2 linked regions of the Saccharomyces cerevisiae S288C genome follow. The protein of the gene in region 1 purifies or fractionates together with the protein of each later gene. This does not show direct contact. Each region holds a gene or a part of one and is shown on either strand. Other genes may lie near its edges. The genes, in order: EFT1 and HGH1.

Region 1 (4,906 bases):
AAGAAAGAGAATCCGACTATTATATTTGATTGCTCCACAAATTTGCCAACATTTCGCAAACAACAATACAAGAATGTCAAAAAATCATACGAAGAATTCCACCAATTGTTCAAATATCTGAATGTTGCCATTCAGGAATCTTTTGTTCCTACTCTTCCCTCTGCGTATACTACATTCGGAATTAATAGCGAAGAAGATAGGATGAAAGTAACGCGAAATTTCCAACTTTGGTTTAACAGGCTATCGCAAGACCCCTTAATTATTCGGAATGAAGAAGTGGCCTTTTTCATTGAAAGTGACTTTAATACGTACACACCCATCAACAAGTCCAAATCACTCGCATCTGGGTTGAAAAGAAAAACATTGAAACAATTAGCACCTCCATATGATGAAATCACAGAATTAGCAGAATTCCGGCCATTAGTCAAGTCTATATATGTTGTTTCTCAGAGCTTGCAAGAAAAACTGCTAAGAGTTTCCAGAAATCGCAAGATGATGGTTCAAGAAGAAAATGCCTTCGGCCAGGATTTCGTTAATCTAGATGAGCACAATAAACTTTACAGAAGATACGGTAAAATATTGACTGCTGTGGGTGATATTGATAGCATTATAGCAACCATGGACATGGCGACATTGTACGATGGTTTAGAGTGGATTGTCAGAGATGCTTATGCCGTGAAGGAAGCATTGACCAACAGGCATTTTATCATGCGAAATCTAGTACAGGCACAGCAGAATTCAAAGGCGAAACAGGAACAAGCACGCAGGTTCCGGTCAAGAAGAGATATTAACCCTATGAAAATCGATGAAGCACTACGTCAGTTGAAAGCTGCAGCTAAAAACGAACAAGTTTTGACCCTTAAGCTTCAACGAATCACGTCCAACATGATTATCGAGAGAAAACAGTGGATTAGCTGGTATGAAGAATGGATAAGAAGCTCGATCAAAGAATTTACACTAAGAAAGATAGAGTATGAAAGAAAGAAGCTGACGTTACTAGAACGAGTACGTTCTGATATCAGAAAAGCTGATGAAAACGGAGGTTTGTCACGTCTAGGACGCCATGCTGTCTCAAACAACAACTCCGATACTTCTCAAACCCTTAAAGGGGACAGTTGGACGGGAGAGAGCAACCGCAAAAGTCAAATCCCCATCAACAAGATCGCTCATACCGAATTTGATGATGAACTATTCACTGAAGACGATGGGTACAACTCTCAGGACTCAGACACTACATCACTGAATGCGCGCCATGCTGCTTCACTTTTGGGCATGTCCACTAAATAATACGTATATAAAGTAGAAAATTCATACCTTTGAACAAGGTGATCTTTTTCCTTTAGTTGATATTAATCCCGGGTAAACTTCCGTGTTGCACTTTTAAAATTTTTTTTCAAATCTCACCTAGAAAATTTTTTTTTGCCATGAGCCTTCCTTTAATTAATCTCAATTGCATACTACTGTTGTATTAAACGCTTCACTGGTTTTTTTACTTAACCCCATTTGCCAGAAAGCCAGACCTACGCACCCAAGAATTTTTAATAACAGATAAAAATGGTTGCTTTCACTGTTGACCAAATGCGTTCTTTAATGGACAAAGTTACCAATGTGCGTAACATGTCCGTTATTGCTCACGTCGATCATGGTAAGTCCACTTTGACCGATTCCTTGGTCCAAAGAGCCGGTATTATTTCCGCTGCTAAGGCTGGTGAAGCTCGTTTCACCGATACCAGAAAGGATGAACAAGAAAGAGGTATCACTATCAAGTCTACCGCTATTTCTCTATACTCTGAAATGTCTGACGAAGATGTCAAGGAAATCAAGCAAAAGACCGACGGTAACTCCTTCTTGATCAACTTGATCGACTCTCCAGGTCACGTTGACTTCTCCTCTGAAGTTACTGCCGCTTTACGTGTCACTGACGGTGCTTTGGTTGTCGTCGACACCATTGAAGGTGTCTGTGTCCAAACCGAAACTGTTTTGAGACAAGCTTTGGGTGAAAGAATCAAGCCTGTTGTTGTTATCAACAAGGTCGACAGAGCTTTGTTGGAATTGCAAGTTTCTAAGGAAGATTTATACCAAACCTTTGCCAGAACTGTTGAATCCGTTAACGTCATCGTTTCCACCTACGCCGATGAAGTTTTGGGTGATGTCCAAGTTTACCCAGCCAGAGGTACCGTTGCCTTCGGTTCCGGTTTGCACGGTTGGGCTTTCACTATCCGTCAATTCGCCACCAGATATGCTAAGAAATTCGGTGTCGACAAGGCCAAGATGATGGACAGATTATGGGGTGACTCTTTCTTCAACCCAAAGACCAAGAAGTGGACCAACAAGGACACTGATGCTGAAGGTAAGCCATTGGAAAGAGCTTTCAACATGTTCATCTTGGACCCAATCTTCAGATTATTCACTGCTATCATGAACTTCAAGAAAGACGAAATTCCAGTTTTGCTAGAAAAGTTGGAAATTGTCTTGAAGGGTGACGAAAAGGACTTGGAAGGTAAGGCCTTGTTGAAGGTTGTTATGAGAAAGTTCTTGCCAGCTGCCGATGCCTTATTGGAAATGATTGTCTTGCACTTGCCATCTCCAGTCACTGCTCAAGCCTACAGAGCTGAACAATTATACGAAGGTCCAGCTGACGATGCCAACTGTATTGCTATCAAGAACTGTGATCCAAAGGCTGATTTGATGTTGTACGTCTCCAAGATGGTGCCAACCTCTGATAAGGGTAGATTCTACGCCTTCGGTAGAGTTTTTGCCGGTACTGTTAAGTCCGGTCAAAAGGTCAGAATCCAAGGTCCAAACTACGTTCCAGGTAAGAAGGACGATTTGTTCATCAAGGCCATTCAAAGAGTTGTTTTGATGATGGGTAGATTTGTCGAACCAATCGATGACTGTCCAGCCGGTAACATTATCGGTTTAGTCGGTATCGATCAATTCTTGTTGAAGACTGGTACTTTGACCACCAGTGAAACTGCTCACAACATGAAGGTCATGAAATTCTCTGTCTCTCCAGTTGTGCAAGTCGCTGTCGAAGTCAAGAACGCTAACGACTTACCAAAATTGGTCGAAGGTTTGAAGAGATTGTCCAAGTCTGATCCATGTGTCTTGACCTATATGTCTGAATCCGGTGAACATATCGTTGCTGGTACCGGTGAATTGCATTTGGAAATTTGTTTGCAAGATTTGGAACACGACCACGCTGGTGTTCCATTGAAGATCTCCCCACCAGTTGTCGCTTACAGAGAAACTGTTGAAAGTGAATCTTCTCAAACTGCTTTGTCCAAGTCTCCAAACAAGCATAACAGAATCTACTTGAAGGCTGAACCAATTGACGAAGAAGTCTCTTTGGCTATTGAAAACGGTATCATCAACCCAAGAGATGATTTCAAGGCCAGAGCTAGAATCATGGCTGACGACTACGGTTGGGATGTCACCGATGCCAGAAAGATCTGGTGTTTCGGTCCAGACGGTAACGGTCCAAACTTGGTTATTGACCAAACTAAGGCTGTCCAATACTTGCACGAAATCAAGGATTCCGTTGTTGCTGCTTTCCAATGGGCTACCAAGGAAGGTCCAATTTTCGGTGAAGAAATGAGATCTGTCAGAGTTAACATTTTGGATGTTACTTTACATGCCGATGCTATCCACAGAGGTGGTGGTCAAATCATCCCAACCATGAGAAGAGCTACTTACGCCGGTTTCTTGTTGGCTGATCCAAAGATCCAAGAACCAGTTTTCTTGGTCGAAATTCAATGTCCAGAACAAGCCGTCGGTGGTATCTACTCCGTCTTAAACAAGAAGAGAGGTCAAGTCGTTTCTGAAGAACAAAGACCAGGTACTCCATTGTTTACCGTCAAGGCCTACTTGCCAGTTAACGAATCTTTCGGTTTCACTGGTGAATTGAGACAAGCTACCGGTGGTCAAGCTTTCCCACAAATGGTTTTCGACCATTGGTCCACTTTAGGTTCTGACCCATTGGACCCAACCTCTAAGGCTGGTGAAATTGTTCTTGCTGCTCGTAAGAGACACGGTATGAAGGAAGAAGTTCCAGGCTGGCAAGAATATTACGACAAATTGTAAGAAGTCTAAATGAGAAAAGGTGGTTCTGTAAGAGCAAACCTTACCGCCTTATGATCTTTTTCATTTATTCTCTGCTTTAAAATTTTGTCGTAATAAAAATAGTATGGTAATAGACTTATATATTATTTTCTTACACATTTTTGTCATATAGTTATATTCCGAATGTTTACAATCGAACCCATCATAAAAATGGACCTTTTCGTATTACCGCCCCCTTTGTAGAGGGGGAGGAACGGCAACTTCTTGACTATTACGACGTATCACCACCCCGTTAGATATACTATGGAAAAAACTATTAAAAACCATTATAATTCATTAATGACATCGGTCCTGAGGTAGTATTACGTATAACTTACCTGGCTCTTGGTCATAGCTTTTTATCCGTTTACGAAAAAAGGAGAAGAAGATTGGGCTTCCGCGGCTATTGTTTGGTTTATACCCCGCCGTATGTTGGTGCTTCTATAATTAGAGCGAAATAGGAAATACAAAAAATCCTTGGAGGGGAGGACCAGCCTCATCGGGCTAAAACTCCCTCAAAACCGGAGGGGCAACCAAAGTATATATCTCATTATGGCCGATACTTCTAGAGGCGCACTAACAGAAGCACCTCAGCCCCTGCAGGTGAAAGAAAGAGGTAATTAATTTTCCGGTTACTTACTTTCTCTCGCTATTGGGGAAAGCGTTGGTTCGAGGCGTTGAGGTCGAAGACAATCATTGTTTTCTTCTTATTTAAGTACATCTTTAGAAGAAAATTACACAACTGGAATGAGTAAATCAATACTTGCTTTGTGTTCCCATTGTTAGATACTCTTGTTTTAGCATG
Region 2 (3,802 bases), on another chromosome or scaffold:
AAAAATCAACCGCCTGTCATTATTGAAAACCCACTTAGTAATAATTTAAGAGCGAAGTTTTTATCCGAAATTTCGCCCCCATTATTCCAATATAACACCTTTTATAACTACAACCAAGAATTGAAAATGAGTTCTCTATTGAAAAAAATCCATAGGGTATCCCGCAACGAAAACAAGAACCCAATTGTTGACTTCAAGAAGACGGGTGATTTATATTGTATACGCGGAGAATTAGGCGAAGGAGGTTATGCCACTGTATATCTAGCAGAATCTAGTCAAGGACATCTGCGAGCGTTGAAAGTAGAAAAACCTGCAAGTGTATGGGAATATTACATAATGAGCCAAGTGGAGTTTAGGTTGAGGAAGAGCACAATATTAAAGTCAATAATCAACGCTAGTGCTTTACACTTGTTCCTTGATGAGAGCTACCTTGTTTTAAACTACGCCAGTCAAGGTACGGTCTTGGATTTAATTAATTTACAACGGGAAAAGGCAATTGACGGCAACGGAATAATGGATGAATATTTGTGCATGTTTATCACTGTCGAGCTAATGAAAGTACTTGAAAAGATACATGAAGTGGGAATAATACATGGCGATTTGAAACCAGATAACTGCATGATCAGATTAGAAAAACCAGGCGAACCCCTGGGTGCTCATTATATGCGCAATGGAGAGGATGGCTGGGAAAACAAGGGAATCTATTTAATAGATTTCGGTAGATCATTTGATATGACACTGTTACCACCTGGAACGAAATTCAAATCAAATTGGAAGGCTGATCAGCAAGATTGCTGGGAAATGCGTGCGGGCAAGCCATGGAGTTATGAAGCGGATTATTATGGATTAGCAGGCGTCATACATTCGATGCTTTTTGGAAAATTCATAGAAACAATCCAGCTGCAGAATGGACGATGCAAATTGAAGAACCCATTCAAAAGGTATTGGAAAAAAGAAATATGGGGCGTTATATTTGATTTACTGTTAAATAGCGGTCAAGCTTCCAATCAAGCTTTGCCGATGACTGAAAAGATTGTTGAAATAAGGAATTTGATAGAAAGCCATCTGGAACAGCACGCAGAAAATCACTTAAGAAACGTAATTCTAAGCATTGAAGAGGAGTTATCACATTTTCAATATAAGGGGAAACCGTCAAGGAGATTTTAGTGAATAAATATGCCTTCATCTCCCGCATAGGTGACTTTTTGGTGTCCTGCCAGATTCCATAGCAATGACAACACAACTTCAGGTAGAGCCAATTGTAACATTAATATATAAAAGGTAATATAAAACTAGCAGGTTCTCAGGTTGAGTAAATATATTCTTTTTTAATCTTGACATCTGTCACTTATGGAAAAACAAGTACCAAAAAAATGGCGATAATGTTATGATATTATTTTACTGAAGCTCTTCATACATCGAGTATGTAGCAATTGCTCCACTTGTTACCGCGAAAACTAACAAGAATAAAAAATAGATGTCTTGATTCGCAATTCGCAGTATATTTCATCTAATAGCTGCAGAGCCAATTGGGATGTTACTGGTAGTGCTACCTTTCGATGTGTTCTGTTATCACCCCAGACGATAATTATTATTGTAGATTTTTCCCTATTCTTCCTCGAAGGGCTTTTTCAAATTTTTTTTTTTTTCATTTTTTCATATTGAGCTCTCTCATCTCATCCATCAATTTATGACGCACCTACTCTAATAACGACAAGTTTATTCTTCTTAAAACGGTATCAATTTAATTTAAAAATTAAAAATAGCTCAAAAAAATCAACAAAAAATTGAGTGATGACTTCACAATTGAATGAATTAGTGGAATTTCTGCATTCACCACAACCTGCCGTAAGACAGATTGCCATTGATAATCTAGTTGGATTTAGTGCTGGTCCCACTTCAAAAGTTTTCAAAAATGATAGCTACAGACCCATTAAGGATATAATAAAAATGATCATGGATCCAGAACACGGCACCCGTGTTATTATTCAGCAAGGTGTCACTATATTGGTCAATTTATCTGAAGACAAGTTAGTAAGAAATATTATATTGAGCGATGACAAGAAGTTCTTAAAATTTTTGGTTTGGAAAATTGTCGATTTAACCAATCCAAATGCCGATATAATGTGTATCTTATTAAGCAACTTAGCCAAGGATGACGGCATTCTTGCTGTTCTGAATATCAAAAGGAATTCAAGCGGTGAGGAGGTCGATGATGGTTTGAAGTTAGCAGCTTTAAATAAAGAAGTTTTCAAAAGTTTGAGAGCCATGGATTGTTTAATGGATTGCTTTGTTAAGGGTTATGATAAAAAATTAACAAAATATGCCAGTTTCAATTATTTAGCCTTTTTTTTTGCGGATATCTCGAGGTTTAAATTGGGCAGGATGTATTTTATTGAAGAGCAGGAATACGATGGGGTTGTTCCTATTTCAAAATTGCTAGTATTTACCGAAAAATATGATGCAAAGGTAAGAAGAGAAGGTGTCGCTTCCACAATTAAAAATTCCCTATTTGATTCTGAAACTCATGAAAGGTTACTCAAAGATGAAAAAATAAACTTGTTGCCTTACATCCTGCTACCTATTGCTAGTGCTAAAGATTCTGAAATTGATGAGGAAGATATGTTCAATTTACCAGATGAACTTCAATTATTACCAGAGGACAAGGAAAGAGACCCGATTCCTGCAATTATATGCTGTCATTTAGAAAGTATTCTTTTGCTATGTACAACGCATGCTGGAAGAGAATACTTAAGAGACAAGTCCGTTTATCCACTAGTGAGGGAGCTGCATAAAAACGTTGAGAATGAAGATATTGGTGAATTATGTTACAGAATTGTTAATATGTTAATGAGAGGCGAGCCAGGTGCGGGAGCAGTGGAAGAGATGCCATCAAAGAATGCGGAAGAGGAAGAAGAGGAGGAGAGTGAAGAAGAAGAAGATGACGACGAAGAAGATGAAATTGTCGAAGTGGCCTAGGTCACTTTCAAGGACAGTTCACATAGCATAGAATTGTATAATACAGAAATAACAATATATTAGAGTTTAGTAGAATTCTGAGTCTTTTCTCAAAAAAAAGGCAGAAAAAAAGACTAGATAAAAAAGTATACTTACTGCAACTAAAATGACAGTATAATGTAACTACATAAGATTAAATGGAAAGAAAAAGGAAAGAATGAAAAGAACGAAAACTAAATAACCTATTAAGTACATAACATTATAAACTAACCTACTCTTTCTTTAATTCCATGTGGTCATTGCCAACCTTTCGACACAATTTTTTTACAATGGCAAACATTAGCTTTTTATTCTCTGCGCCAGGATATTTTCTTCTGATGAACTTTCCAAACTCTTTGATATTGACTTTGCCATCACCAATAGCCTCGATGATATCTTTTTCTGTTATTGTAGGCGCTGGAGTTTCTTCCCTTTCTGCCACTGTAGAATTCAAGCCTTCCTCTTGTTTGATTGGCGAAGGCACTGTATTCGATGCATTATTACTACTATCTACAGCTTTTGTCGTCTGTGGATTCCATTCTCCCTCTGGGAAGCTTTTCAGTATTTTCTTATCCCCCTTCAAGATAATGACACAGTTTTTAATACTTTTCACCCTCAAAGTTGGCTCTTTATGCACATGCGCATTTGTAGCTTTCTTTTGCTGTTTCTTTGGAGAAGATCTCTTGGATTTGGATAGAGTGTCCGAATCTTCTTCCTTTTTAACGGGCGATTCATTCTCTTTGTTTTCAATATCGGATTCAGATAAGTATGGGTTGATCTCATTTTCATCCGATGAGTATAGTGC

The links.
Region 2: the proteins of EFT1 (region 1) and HGH1 purify together in Saccharomyces cerevisiae (affinity purification with mass spectrometry; 3 studies listed by BioGRID, with this or other methods). This does not show direct contact.

What each region holds. Positions count from the first base shown.
Region 1 is NC_001147.6:573,544-578,449, forward strand, and holds EFT1 (elongation factor 2), read left to right. Parts: upstream 1-1,554; coding exon 1,555-4,083; downstream 4,084-4,906. Other genes in the region: retromer subunit VPS17, read left to right, coding at 1-1,287. UniProt on the Saccharomyces cerevisiae protein: Catalyzes the GTP-dependent ribosomal translocation step during translation elongation.
Region 2 is NC_001139.9:869,409-873,210, reverse strand, and holds HGH1 (Hgh1p), read left to right. Parts: upstream 1-1,794; coding exon 1,795-2,979; downstream 2,980-3,802. Other genes in the region: protein kinase BUB1, read left to right, coding at 1-1,167; transcription factor IIF subunit TFG1, read right to left, coding at 3,230-3,802.